Linked DNA regions of Drosophila melanogaster. The protein of the gene in region 1 interacts with the protein of each later gene in a pairwise test. Each region holds a gene or a part of one and is shown in the gene's direction. Other genes may lie near its edges. The genes, in order: Nf-YC and CG10321.

Region 1 (6,594 bases):
CATTGGTCAATGATGAGACGAATATGGGTACAGATTGGCGAACCCACCTTGGCGTGGTGTGTGTCGTAGCTGAAGGTGAGTGTCACCAGGCTGGGGCATCCACTCCAGTCTATCCTCACTACTGTCGCCTCTCGCAGCTCAAATAGTTGACTGCGCAGCGCCGACTGGATGAAGTCCTCGGTGCGTATGTCCTCCACGCGACGCATGGCTCCGCTGGCCAGTTCAATATAGGATCCCCGACGGAAGCAGGAAGCGGAGTCGTCGGAGAACCCACTAAAATTGAGGCAACTGATTAACTGGATGGGAAAAAGTGCCGAATCGTTTGCTTACTTGCTGGACCAGTGCTGTTGCGACGGAGGAGGAAGAGACGGTGGTTGCCTCCCGATTGGATCGTAGCCGCGGCCATAGGAGAGTTCCATGTGCATCTGCATGTCGATCTGTTCGTCTGGACGGAAGCTCGTCAACTGAAGTATTCCCTGCCCAGGCTGGCAATTGATATACACTTATTCATTCAGCTCCAGCGTGTTTTCCACGGTTTTTCCAGGAATGTCACCCACTCGGACGGACGGCCGGCCGACTATTCCGCCTCGTACCTGTTTTATGGCCCAAAAGGCCATAATCTGGTCGTGCCAACAGGTACGTGGCACCTTAGACGCCGCCGGTGACCGCTACCTGCCCACCGAATTCTGCTTAACAGCCATTGTTCGTTGTCCATTGTGCCGATCGGACCAGAGAATCCCGTCCAGCGGCGCCGAACTGGCTGTTGCGCCAGGCGCCTTGAAGACTGCTCGGCTGCACCACCAGCACTACCACTCTGAATGCAAGACGTGACCAATTGCGGATTTCTGCTGAAGCCCTTTATAGCGCTCCGTTTATTTGGTTTTTCGTTTTCTCTTAACAGCGGCCGCGGATGTGGACGATGCGATGGGCACCTTGCCCCAGCTAATGCCCAGAGCGTACAGATAGTAGGCCCCAAAGAAGTAGAGCACTCCCAACGCCGAGTACACGGAGGTCAGCAGTAGGGGCAAGAAGGGCAGGCGCTGGTCCAGGTGCAGCAGGAAAGAGAGCAGATGCTCGTACAGCGGAATAGCCATGAAGCCCAGCATGTATAGCCACTCCAGCGTGTGGAAGCCTCGGAAGCCGGGGAAGATGCGATACAGCTGGCCGTACATCATGGCCACGTACGACATGTACAGGGAATACCGGGGAATGTACAGATCCGCATCGAAGAGCAGCGGAAAGAGAGAGAAATAGCCGGCAATGCCAAGGACATAGGCGTATCTGGCATCCTCCCGGTTTACCAGCGTGAGCAGACTGAAAAAGGGTGGGCCTGTTAGTAGGATTCCTTCATTTCGAATTAACTGAGGGGAAGGGAACTCACCAGAGCGGAAGGAGCACCATTAAGATGGCCTTCTCGTGCACATGCCAGCCGAAGACGAAGGAGGAACAGCCGCACAAAACCACCGCTCGCAGGAAGACCAGCGGACTTTGTCTGCAAAGAGATGGCGGATAAGTTTGCTGCGATATCTTGGAATCCAAACGAGGATTTCCTCACTTCTTGGCACTGCGAAAGAGCTTCACCAAAATGGGCAGCATGAAGAGAGCGGTCAGGGCAAAAGTCACAGGCGGTGTGATGGCTGGCAGCACCGAGTGCCTGACCTCCTGGACCAATCCTGACGTCGTCGAGGCACCGCCATCCTGTACCTTCAAAACTCCGGCGGCCAACTTGTCGGCGGCATTGTACAGCGCCCAGAAGTTGGGTGCCCAGTAGGCGTGCGTTAGGCCACGCTTGAAAGGAAACAGACGGGAGAGGACTTGCGGCAATTGCTGCCAGAAGGGTCCGAAAGACACGGCGAACGGAGTAAGTCCAACGACCAGCAGCTTGACAACGGCACCCACCGCAGACACCACACTCGCTTGCTCCAGGCAATAGAAACGCAGCAGGTAGACCCCAAAAGCGGGCGCCATGTACAGAAAGATGTGCTTAAAGTTGAGCAGCACGGCGAAGGCAAAGGCGCTCCAGAGGAACCGCTGCCGGATGAGGGAACCGATGCTCAGGAGCAGTATGCCGAACAGCAAGCCATTGTACTGAAAGTGAATGTGGTCCACGAAGATCAATCCCACGTTGAGGAGCAGCAACATGGAGGCGGCAAAGAACTGCTGCGTATCCCTGCCCAATCCCAGTGAGCCCAGGCAGCTGCGCACGCCGAGCACATACACTAGATCCGTAACAATCACCGAGAGCCGCTGAAAGTAAACGGTGGCCTTGGACTCGTAATTCAGGTTATCCACCACCAGCATTCGTGGATCCACGTACTTGGCCACCTGCGAGAGCAGCCACTCGAAGTAGGCGAAGAACGGCGGATAGTCCAGTGTCCACTCGCTGGTGGCGTCCACATACCACTGATTCAGCGGCAAACTGTGGGTGATGGCCAGCCAGTTGCGATGGACTTCGAAATCCGTGGAATGGCTAAGGATGAAGTTGATTTAGTGGGCTTGATAAGTGGACAGAGCACTGCATTTACTAGGCTGGAATCAGCAGGATCTTTAGGCCGGTGGCTATGCCCACCAGGTGCCAGAAGAGGTCCTTCATCTTCGTTTCTCTCAGGGATTGGGATTGTAGTTTAGATTCGATGCATTCCTTATCAGCGGTAAGTGCTGTCCGATCTGGCTTGAAAGCGGGCAGAATGCGATTGTCGATTGTGCCGGCTAAATGTGGCTTGGAAGTAGCCAGTTAGCCCGACTAAAAGCTATCGTTATCGGGCTGTCCAGTTTTCGCCCTCACCGCCGCCTGGTCACACTGACGCTCGCGTGTATGCATGTGTGTGTGTGTGCATTACATTACGCATTTGCTTTGCGAATTAGAAGCTAATTAAAGCGAATATTGTGGACTCGAGCCGGTCGCCAGAGTCCCACGGTTGCCGCCAACGCCGAGCTAAGGTCTCCAGCCAACCGGGCCATGTACGCCACCAACAATGGCGGCACGAACAAGGCGCCAAACAGGTAAGTTCCGCCTCCGCCAGCAAAATCTAGCGCCCCTCCCCCAAAAAAACAGGCGGTACAGCCGAGATTTTTAGTGTGTGCGCCGATCCTTTTTGTTTTCATTCTGCGATTTGTGCATGCCAAATAATTTGAATGAAACTAATGTGAATGCCCTACAGCAATGCCACCTCCATGTTCGACAACACCATCACAGTGACGCCCATAAAGATGGAACTGGGCCAGGCGTATGCCAAATCGCAAAATTCAGCGGCTATGCAGCGAAGAACACCGAATGCAGTGGTGGTCACCTCCTCCTCCACCGTCTCCTCCGCCCAGCAGCAGCAGCAACAGCAGGGCCAGCAGCAACAGCAGACGGTTCCCATGGCCAGTTTGGTGTCCAACGCCTGTACGCTGGTTAATCCCAGCATGAGTGTGACGGTGGCCACCACCGTTGCGAGCGGCGCCAAGGAGAAGACCACGAAGGCCACACGAACTCAGGTGGCACGCAAACCGCCGCCCACCATCGACAACTTCTGGCCAAATATCGTGAGCGAGGTGCACAGCATCGGCCAGGTGGATGCCAAGCACCAGGTGCTGCCGCTGGCGCGCATCAAGAAAATCATGAAGCTGGACGAGAACGCCAAGATGATTGCCGGCGAGGCGCCGCTACTGTTTGCCAAAGCCTGCGAGTACTTCATTCAGGAGCTGACTATGCACGCTTGGGTGCACACCGAGGAGAGCCGGCGGCGTACGCTCCAGCGTTCGGACATTGCCCAGGCCATAGCCAACTACGACCAGTTCGACTTCCTCATCGACATTGTGCCGCGCGAAGAGATCAAACCGTCGTCGGCGCAAAAGACCAAGGATGGCAGTACATCCAGTTCGAGCGGAATGGCGGGCGCAGCCAGCAGTGCCGCCTCCACCTCCAACACAGCCACCTCCAATGCGGCCGCCTCCGTGGCGGGCAATGCTACCGCCACGGGCAACTTTGTAGCCAGTGGTTCCACCGTACCTGCGACCACCGCTGGTGGCCTCAAGCTGGACACCACGGGTGCAACCAATGCCGCCGAGGTGCTCGGCTTCAGCACTGTCAACTCGGACATCTTCTCAGCGCAACTGCAGCAGCAACAACAACAGCAGCAACAGCACGCCGCCCAGCAGCAGCAGCAACAACAGCAGCAGCAACATCACCAGGCACATCCACAGCAGGTTCAGATTATTCAGCAGGGCGCTGGTGGCCAACAGTTGCAATACTTTATCGCACTGCCGAGTCAGCAGGCGGCGCAGCTCGTGCAGCAGCCGCAGCCCGCGCAGAATCATCTACCCATCAACATTTTGTCAACCCAACAACCCACCCAGCAGTTGATACTGACCGCCGGTCCCAATGGTCAGCTGACCGCAACGCCAGCGCCGCAAACGACTGCCCAGCAACAGACGGCGCTGCTCCAGAATCTCGCCCAGCAGCAACAGCAGCACCAGCAACATCAGCAGCAGATTCAGCTGCTGCAGCAAGTGGTTACGCCCACGGGGGAGCTGACTAATGTGCCGGTAGGTATCACTTGAGGTAATTGTATTGAATCCCAGATTAAGACTTGCCTTTCCCATTGCAGATCGCCATCAATGCCAGTCATTTGAATCTCCTGCAGCGACTACAAATGCAACAGCAGCAGCAGCAGCAACAACAGCAGCAGCAACAGCAGCAGCAGCAACAACAGGTCATCATACCAACCCAACTGCTGACGACACAGCAACTGCTCCAGCTGGGCGGAGCACCCACAGTGGCCCATCAGCAGCAGCAGCAACAGCAGCAGCACGCCAATCTCACGCAGCAGAGCAACGCCAGTGCGGTGGCCAGTGGCACGCCGATCTTTATCAACTCGACCATGACTGGTGCCCAGGCGGCGGCGACGCAGGCGCAGCAGCAGCAGTCGGCGCAGCAGCAACAGGCACAAACGATCTCCACCATGTCCACGGATCGCACATTAACCGGCGGATTTCGGTAAAAGCTGGAAGTATGATATCCGTACCAACGGACGGACGGACAGACGGACAGTTGGCAATCATATCGAAAGCATCGGGAGGCATTGGAATCGGGCATTGGCAAGCGGGCATTGATTGCGCCATCCCCTGTCATCCAGCACAATGTATAATATTATAGTTTACGTAGGTGTATACGATTGTATATCGCGGGGGAGATTATATATAGCTAGTGTCTAAGTCGTAGGCATCTGTGTAGAAACGATTTCTCAATTGTAATTTATTGCTGACCCTCCCGCCCCCTGGCAGCAGGTTTCACCTTCTCCAAAAAAAAAAACCGCCACCTCCACCACTTTTAAACCTAGCACTTAGAGAGAATAATGGGAAATCGAGTGTATTAGTGTATGTATGTGACGGGTGACGGATGCCACCGGTCCAAAGCATAACCCAGCGTTTCGCGTGGCATCCGCGCTCTTTATTATGTATTTGTACTTCTAACTAAGCTAAGATCTGATAAACAATTATAAGCCACCAAGGACTATGTGCCAGAAACTCCTGCGCTAACTGTATTCACTTTCTGGCCAGGATCTTGTTGATGTCCTGCAGTTCGCGGGTGCTCCATGGTTCCAGCGGATCGGGCGGCGATTGCGTTCGCCGCGTGTAAGCGGAACGTCCCCGCTGGCTGCGCTCGTCCGGATCATCGCTTTGCTCCGGCGAAACTCTGGCGCCCAAGGAAAACGTGGGATTAAGATATGAAACGGACACTGGGATGGGAACTCACTTGTTTCGGCGACGAACACGAGCACTTTTGGCGCGACGAGCGGCCTCATCCTGTGCTGGCTGGCACTTGCGCAGGTGAAACTGCTTCATAGTGGCGTGCACCTCCTCCGCCGTGGGTATATCCTCGCTGTCCTGTCCACCATTGCCGTCCTCGGTCTCCACTTCGGCTTCCTGTTCGATGGTCAGCACCTCCTCCGCGACGGCTTCATCGAAGTGGAAGCCCTGCTAGTGGGTTTACATTTTGCACTCAGCTATTTCACTTTTTTTATCCACTCACCGTGTCCACATCCAGGCCAGGTGGTGCCCACACCGAGGACATGGGCTGAAACTGTCCATGGCTGTGACCCTCGAATCCCTGCTGATCCCGTCGAATTTCCGCCTTGGATAGGGCATTGTGTGTCCGTTTGGCCAGCGATAGCTTGCCGAGAATGGGTCCGCCGCTGTCGCTCTCCTCGGTTTCCACCTCGGCCAGCATGGCCATGAACTCCTCCAGCTTTTTGGGATCGACAATGTCCTTGGGGTCTTGGAAAAGATTGCTCAAGTTCGAAATGGGCAGTGGCATGGCCATTAGATCGGAAGCAGCAGCAGCAGTAGCAGTAGCTTGTGTTGCAGGAGCGGCTGGAGATGCTTTGGCCACCGAAGCCACTGGCAGTGGATCCACCTTCTTGGCCACCGGCGCTTGCGGCTGTGTCTTCATCGTTTGCTCCACCAAATCGAAAGCCTTATTGGCCAGCTGCTGCAGGCCGGCAAAGTAGTGGGGATCATGGGTCTCCGGTCGCTGGTCCGACATCATGATCAGCTCCCTGAAGGGATCCGGTGCTGGCGGTGCGGGCGGAGGCGCTGTTACCGATCGCA
Region 2 (7,694 bases), on another chromosome or scaffold:
CTAACCAGTGTTACACACACGTTCTATTCGGATTGAGTCAAATGGTGCCGATTATCTTATCGCCAAGTGTGGACTGCAAGTTGGGAAAACGAATACATTCATCACCCCGGTCGTTGCTCACTAACTGGGTTTTCGGTGACGCTATTACGGACACGGACCGGCTCTCACCGAAAATCGAAGCGAATCTCGGCCGAATCCTTCATCAGTAGATAAATATGGTGATATTAAGGTGTTCGTTGTGCGACAGCTTGGCGGTCAAGTTGAATGCGTTCGTATAGGCCGTTGCTCAGGTGTTAGAAAATTGCAAATTTAGTTACTACTTGACCACCGAAGTGTGCCTATCGACGGCTGTGGAGCAATTCAATCGAAGAACTCTGTGCATCTGATCTGCGGAAATGTCTATGAAAGCCATCATCATCGGATGCCTGGCCGTGCTGGTGACACTGGGTGCGGCCCTCGATGAACATCCTCATTTCTGCATTAAGACAGATCCCCTCCTTCTGTCGGAGATCGATCGACATGTGGTCATCCCCAGCGAGGAGGACCTACAGTGCCATATTAAGGCCACCACGTTGACCCAAAACGAGAAGGTAAAATTTTGGGCATATGGGAATACCCATTTATAAGCTAAAGTTTTCTGGATTTTCTTGGGGGGTAAGCAAACATACTAAAAGTGGAATTTTAGAACAGTCAATTTATGGCAATTCGTTATGGATACAACTGCTCTTGGAATAAAAGTATTTCAGTTAGTGCAATTATTTGGCGACTAAGGCAGATTGCACGATTCCATATTTGTTAAAAATGGCCTCAATTTGAAAAACTCCCTACCTTTAATGGCAAATGGTGCGTCGCCAAACTAGTTTGCCCCATCGACATCCTTAAGTGACAAATCCAATGCCAGCCAATAAATTATTCGAGTGGCTGATATTCCAAATTGAATTAGCTTGACGATAAAGTGACAAAGTGTCCATCGCAGCTGAAGAAGATAATGCCGGCGGACCTGAGATAAGCCGAAGACGGTGGTTATATACGAACAAGGTGTTTGTTTCAGTCTTTTACTTTTATCTCTTCATTTTCCAGGCAAACCTCGTGGACACCCTGTGCGCAGATCATGGCTCCACCACAATCAGGCGAGATAACCATCACTTTTTTAGGCTGCGCAACGGAGAACTGACTGGAAGGGGAGTTCAGACGGAGGTGTGCGCCAACGGAGGTGATTCGGTCCTGGCCTGGATTCCCTACCACACCGTGCTCAAGAACTATGCGGCCGAGCTGAATCCCAAGGAGCGACTGACATACATTGCCAAGGCCACGAACGTGGAGCGGGAGAAGACAGAGCTCTGTCACTTCCGACACACGGATCTTGTCAATGCGGTGTCCGACAATCTGTTCACCTGTGTGGTCATGATTTTTGGCGATAACTTTGTAAGTTCCTCGGGAAGATGGTTCGGTTGATGTCCTACAAATATGTTATCTTTATAGTATGGTCTTGAGGATAACATTAACGTACTGGTGGAACTGGAACCTTTGGCATACCAGCTGAGGAACATTACTTACCTGCCGTGGCGCAATGTGACTAACAGCTACAAGATGCACCTGGGTGACAGTGTGCTCCGAAATCCCAGTGGCGAACGTAAGCCCATTTACGGTAGCCTGAACTACGATTTTGTGGAGAAGATCCTTGTGAACATGTCCAGTGTGTACCAGCATAGGAAGCTATCCAGGCTGCCTCTGCTCTTCGAGCACCGGTCCTCTGTTCTCGAGTTGGACTTGTATGGTATGGGTGGCCTGGATGTTGCGGAAAAAGCCTATTTCGGACGAAGCATGGACCCCAGGAGCGAGGTGAAGGTGCAGGTGATTGGTCAATGGGTAGACCAGCATCGGGAGTTCGACGCCGACATATACGAGTACTATGGCCATGGGCTGAGACGCTATAAGGAAACTCTGACCGGGGCCCGGCTCACCTTCATCCGAATAGATTATACGGAGCCGGTTTTCATGGCTCCGGAGTCTAGCAACCTGGCCAAGGCCTCGCTTTTCCGAGAGCCGAAGGTTGGCCAGATAAGGGAGGATCCATCGGGCAACTATACCGAGTGGGAGAACGCACAGGAAGAGGATTACGATGAGGAAGGTCCAGGATTCTACTGCTGGTTTGTGATTACTTGTCTGCTTTTGGCCCTCGCTATTATCCTGGGCATATACATTGTAGTAAGCGCTCACAACAGGAGAACCAAGAAGCGCCACATGTACGAAGTGGCCAACACGAATGTGCCTCCACCCGCCTAAAAATTATGGACATTAAGTTAAGTTTTCTAAATCAGAAAATAACACCAGGATCAACAGGTGTTTTCAGTTCGAAATGTCAGTTTAAAAAACGAGTTGGCAGCTCAATTGCTATGTCCTCGAATTAAAATTTGTGTGTTCGTTTTTTGGGTTAGATTTATTAAAAATTTCGGCTTGAAAATGTTAATGTGAGTCAAAAAACTGTTGTGTGTTTCATTGAATATGTAAAGAAATCCCCTGGTATGAACGGCAAGGAATGGCTCTAAAATCGAGAAATTAAAGAGACTTGTGAGCTGAAGGACCCACATCAAAAACCTAAGTTGTAAATAGAGAAAAGGTAAGTTTCAATGGAATTTCATGCCTTAAACATAAGAAGTTTTAAGTATTAAAAAGAAATCTAGAAATCTGAGGAAATAAACAAAATGATTTCCGACCGGCATGCGTTAGGGATTTCTGTCTTTATACCACGTTGGCAGCGCCATTCACAACACGCCTATCATCTCACTCACACTCGCACACAGAGAAAGACAGATAGAGGCAGAAGTTCAGTTCATCAATTCATTCATCTCATGGAAGAACCTTATTGATAACGTCGCCAGAGATAGCTAGTGATTTCATTCGATCAGGGTCCCGAAAGACCCACTGGTGTGCACTTGTTTTGGTTTTGAAGTTCGCATCTCTGGGAACGTGTGTGTTTCGCCCTGAACCACAAATATGTGAGTTCCGAATGCGATTTGTGTGACGCGGCCATATTTAAAGAGTTTTTTGTGTTGAATGTGGGGCGAGCTGCGAAAATTACATAAATACAGCGCAGGTGAGTTCATTTTTGTTGCGGGAACCCGGTCGAAAGGTGCTCTAAGTGCGGGTGCAAGTGAATCGAAAACAATATTTACCCAATTCAAGTCGGGAATTATGTATTTGTTTCGTTTTTTGGGCCTAAAAATCGCATTTTTCGCTCACACCAACACCAAGATGGTAAATTGTGTATAACAATATGGCTGTCTCTGTCTGGCACAAGAGCTACCAGACGTGTCGACAGTCCCTGTTATTAACAGCGGGTTAGCAGGTCATTTTACAACAGATGAAATTATTCTGAATTTTAATTGACCATTTTTTGGCGGGCAAATCATAACAAACCTCGTACTCATGCACCTTTCGGGGATCCGCTCATTCTAATGGTTATTTTAAATTAAAAAAAACTGGCCCATTGCAGCCTCCCCCTAGGAACACGAAGTGATGGATCGCAAGAAGGTCCTGGAGCTTGACAAGATCTGCCGCCTGTGCATCTCGGAGCGCAAGGAGATGCGCCCGCTGTTCAGCGAAAAGGTGCCCGAAATGCTGATGGACTGTACCAGCGTGCGGGTGGAGCCCACGGAGGGCTGGCCGGACAAGATCTGCGTGCAGTGCGTCCACGCCGTAAGCCGGAATCACGCCTTCAAGACGCTCGTCGAGCGCAGCGACAAGGAGCTGCGCGAGTATATCCGCGGTCTTACCGTGGCACTGGTAATGGAGGAGCAGCAGCAGCAGGAGGCGGCAAACGCTAAGCAGCAGCTTCAGCTGGAGCGGAAGCAACAGCGACAGCTGCAGAAGCAACAGAAAATCCTCGAGGAGCAACTCCAGCAGCAGATAGTCCAGCAGCAACAGCATCAGCCTCCTGCCAAACCAAAACTGAAGCCGCTGCTCCGCAAGGGCTCCCGCCAGCAGAAGCAGAGGCATTTGGAGGCCGCACCAGCACCACAGTCAGTCCCGCAGCCCGCCCCTCAGCCACAGATGCAATTAATGCAGGAACATGCGCCGCAACAGCCCACTATGCAGCAGCAGATCCAGCAGATTCATATGCCCACACTTCAGCCTGCTCCCGCCCAGCTACTGTCCGCTGCCGGTGCCACCACGACTATGCCGCAGCAGATCCTGTTGCCCAACGGCCAATTGATAACGACTGCTCAGATTGTAGCGCCGCAGTTGGCGCAGATCATCAGCACAGCGCCGCAGTCAACGACTAATGGTCAGGCCACCGCTGCGCAATCGCAATTCCTGCCACAGCTTCTACAGACGCCGAACGGACAGACGTTGCAGATTGTTCAGCAGCCCAATGGCACGCAGACCCTGCAGCTGGTTCAACTTGTGCCGCAACGCAGTTTGGCTCCGACCGGAGTCACGACAGTGACCACAACTACCAACGCCACGGATATGGGTCAGCATGTAGGCGCTTCTCTCGGTGATGCCGACGTGCAGTTGCTGGAGGACGGCTGTGAGGTGGAAGACGAGGAACTGGAAGATGTGTACGAGCAACTGGATAGCAAGGCAGATCACAGCTTTGAGACTATTGTACTGGACGACGATCAGCAGCAGGACTTCCTAAAGGACCACCACGAGCACCACCAAGTAATGATCAACGAGGATCTCACGCAGAGTGAAAGCCAAGACCATGAGTACTTCGACGATTTGGACCAACAGCAAGCAATGGACGAGATAGAAGACGAGGAGGAGCAAATGAAGCCCGAAGAGGACCAGGATACGTTCATAATCGAGGAGATTCAGCTGGAGGATGACGAGATGCTCGATGATCCGGATGGGGAGGAAATCGACCAGGATTGTGAGTACATCGGTGAGGAACAGGATCCGCATTTGTCCGGCGACGTAGACGACGATCTGGAGTATTCCATTATGGAGCCGCCGGATGGCGAGACAAGTGTGGACATTGACCAGGCATTCATGGATTCTGAGCAGTCGCATCATCAGCAGCACCAAGAAGAGATGCAGAGCATATCACTGGAGAACGCTGTTGTAGAGTTCAGCCAGGCCACAACTACAACGGAAGCCCTGGTGGGTCCCACTATGACCGTCAGCTCGGCCAGTCCGACGCCAAAGCGAGCCAAGCGAAGTAACCACCAAATTCCAGCCGGTGTGACTCTGGAACCCTGCGACCACCAACCACCTGCCGCTGGATCAACGACCAGCAGCAAGCTGGCCGCAGCCAACTCTCGCCAGTTGGTGCAGACGGCCAGCGTGATTGCAGCCGCCGGTGCGGACGACAACTACGAAATAGATGCTAATCTGGTAACTGAGTTCATACGACAGCACACCTCGCCTCTGGGATCTGGGAGATACATTTGTCACCTGTGCAGCACCGAGTTCCGGCAGTTCAAGGGCCTGCAGAACCACATGCACTCCCACACCAACTGGATACGGGCCAATTGCAAGAAACAGCCGCAGTGCCAGATCTGCCTAAAGAGCTTTAAGGGCCCAGGAATGCTGCGGATGCACATGAAGACGCACGACGCTGAATCCAGCACACCGATGTGCACCATTTGCAATCGAACCTTCAAGTCCAAGGCGATCTTGTACAGGCACAGACAGACGCACCAGCAGAGAGCGTATTGCTGCGGCGTGGCCAACTGCCGAAAGAACTTCTCGTCCGCGGTGAACCTCAAGTGGCACGTAGAACGCAAGCATCCGGAGGTTGTGGATCCGCTGTTCAAGTGCGGCGAGTGCGGATCTTTGTACGACAACGTGGACTCACTGCAGCTGCATGTGGAGAGCACGGATCACAGTGCAGAGGTGCAGATCAGTGGCCAGGACGATGCTTTCAGCGGGGCGGTAAGCATCGTCAGCAACGGCACCACCGACATGTCGAACATGATGGCAACCGGCCAGGGTACGACTTTGGCCGGCGGCACGGGCGATACCCACGCCGTGGTCATGGGCTCATCCGGCGAGGTGTACTTCGTGACGCAGGCGTAGCCAGCGGAGTTTGCCGCAGCGGGCGCTCCTGGAAACGGCGAGTGCCTGCTCGGCATTTAGATGACCACTTAGATGTAATATATATACATATATATATATATATTTTTGTACTACCCCCGTCTAGATAACAATTTAGGAATAAGCACAACTACACAAATATTGCAATCCTAGATTTCTGTCGTAGAACTTGTTTAGTAGGACCTAAGCGATTCACTCGAATTTTGTAAGCAGATACGAAACTTTAGGTAGGCAGATCGAGGCGGATCCTCACATCCAAACGCTTGGGGCATAAATCCTGCGTGGACTGTGCCAGTTTTTGTTTTTAATTTTATTACCCTACTATTATTATTTTGTTTTCCCGGGGAATACAGACTGGCATTTTAGGCTAAACGTATTTTGGCGTTGGGTTTTCATTGTTGGGCTTTGAAATAAGTGAATTTGTTTTAACTGAACAACAAAATAAATTAACAAACCTTCTATGAAACCATAATTTGTCTTTCTTGTACGTCCCATCTGGCCGGTAATATTTATTTTTAAGCGTGTAATCCAATTCGCTGGCTTTGTTGGCTTGTTGTTCAATTGCATTGACAGAAGACCGGGAAAAAACAGAACCCAAACAAAATTGATCGAAAGAAAACAACAATCAAGCCAAGGTCTTGTCTATTGATTCCCAATTGCCACGTGTCGCGTTCATCCGGTTATGGGAAGTATCTGGATAACTACGATTCGCGTATGGATGCTTATGTAAATCTGTAAATGCCTATTAGTGTGATTTAGGTACATGTACATACATATATATTATATTATCCATAAAAAGTGACCCCCCAATAATCGGTTATCTGATCGCAGTCTGAAATCTCCGGCTGTCACAAGAAATTGTTAATTAATTAGCAAATAAGCCGCGAAAATAATCAATTGGAATAACATTGTGACAGCTAAAATCGCCAGGCGTTTATTTGTTTTGTTCAGATTATATATGGCGGTCAGCCGCGTTTCGCAAGATAAGATAAAGGTTTGGTTTTCCGCTTACAAATATGACGCATACCTTCGACTTACCGCCCTTAATTTTCCAGCCAGCTGTTGGAAAATCTGGCCCAAACTAAAGCTTATATTGTACATAGATATTTTAGATAGCTAGATTTTTGATTCGTAACTAGCTGTATCTAATGCAACATTTTTAAAATGGGCTTTACCTATACCATCATATGCTTTACATTTACATTTACATATGTATATATTCATTGCACTTATAATATATTCTTCATCTTAAATGTCATGCTTTCATGCTTGGCTGGAAAAGTCCTTGCACTTTAAACCGTCGAAATAAAACTTGGCCACGCAGCCAAATAAATGTCAAGATAAATTTCGTAGGCCAAAACGAATTAATTAGAAAATAGAAGAATTCTTTTTAAGATAATATTTCCTACAAATTTGCTAGTCTATCACATAGTGTATTTTTTACACAAAAATATTTCAAACATTTGAAATCAATGGGAAAAATGTTAATGGGGCTTTACGTTTTAAAAATACATATTTCAAAAATATCTATTTTCGGATCGCGCACTATCGAACAAAAACCGGCGACTGTTGGCTCCCAACAGTTGGTCATCCATTTCAAATTTAATTGATTTGGCACTGGCGAGGGGTTCGTGGAAGGGGGGGGGGAT

Evidence for each region.
Region 2: the proteins of Nf-YC (region 1) and CG10321 interact in a two-hybrid assay, tested with the Drosophila melanogaster proteins (one study listed by BioGRID).

The regions. Positions count from the first base shown.
Region 1 is NC_004354.4:6,817,092-6,823,685, reverse strand, and holds Nf-YC (nuclear factor Y-box C), read left to right. Parts: upstream 1-2,766; 5' UTR 2,767-2,959; coding exon 2,960-3,003; intron 3,004-3,161; coding exon 3,162-4,530; intron 4,531-4,592; coding exon 4,593-4,985; 3' UTR 4,986-5,508; downstream 5,509-6,594. Other genes in the region: Atx-1 (ataxin 1), read right to left, coding at 48-273, 331-431; xit (xiantuan), read right to left, coding at 873-1,314, 1,382-1,492, 1,556-2,470, 2,526-2,593; iav (inactive), read right to left, coding at 5,530-5,680, 5,741-5,961, 6,017-6,594.
Region 2 is NT_033778.4:21,631,885-21,639,578, forward strand, and holds CG10321 (uncharacterized protein), read left to right. Parts: upstream 1-2,794; 5' UTR 2,795-3,097; intron 3,098-3,496; 5' UTR 3,497-3,519; coding exon 3,520-6,027; coding exon of another isoform or gene 6,028-6,087; 3' UTR 6,088-6,515; downstream 6,516-7,694. Other genes in the region: CG15674 (uncharacterized protein), read left to right, coding at 402-590, 1,081-1,425, 1,483-2,286.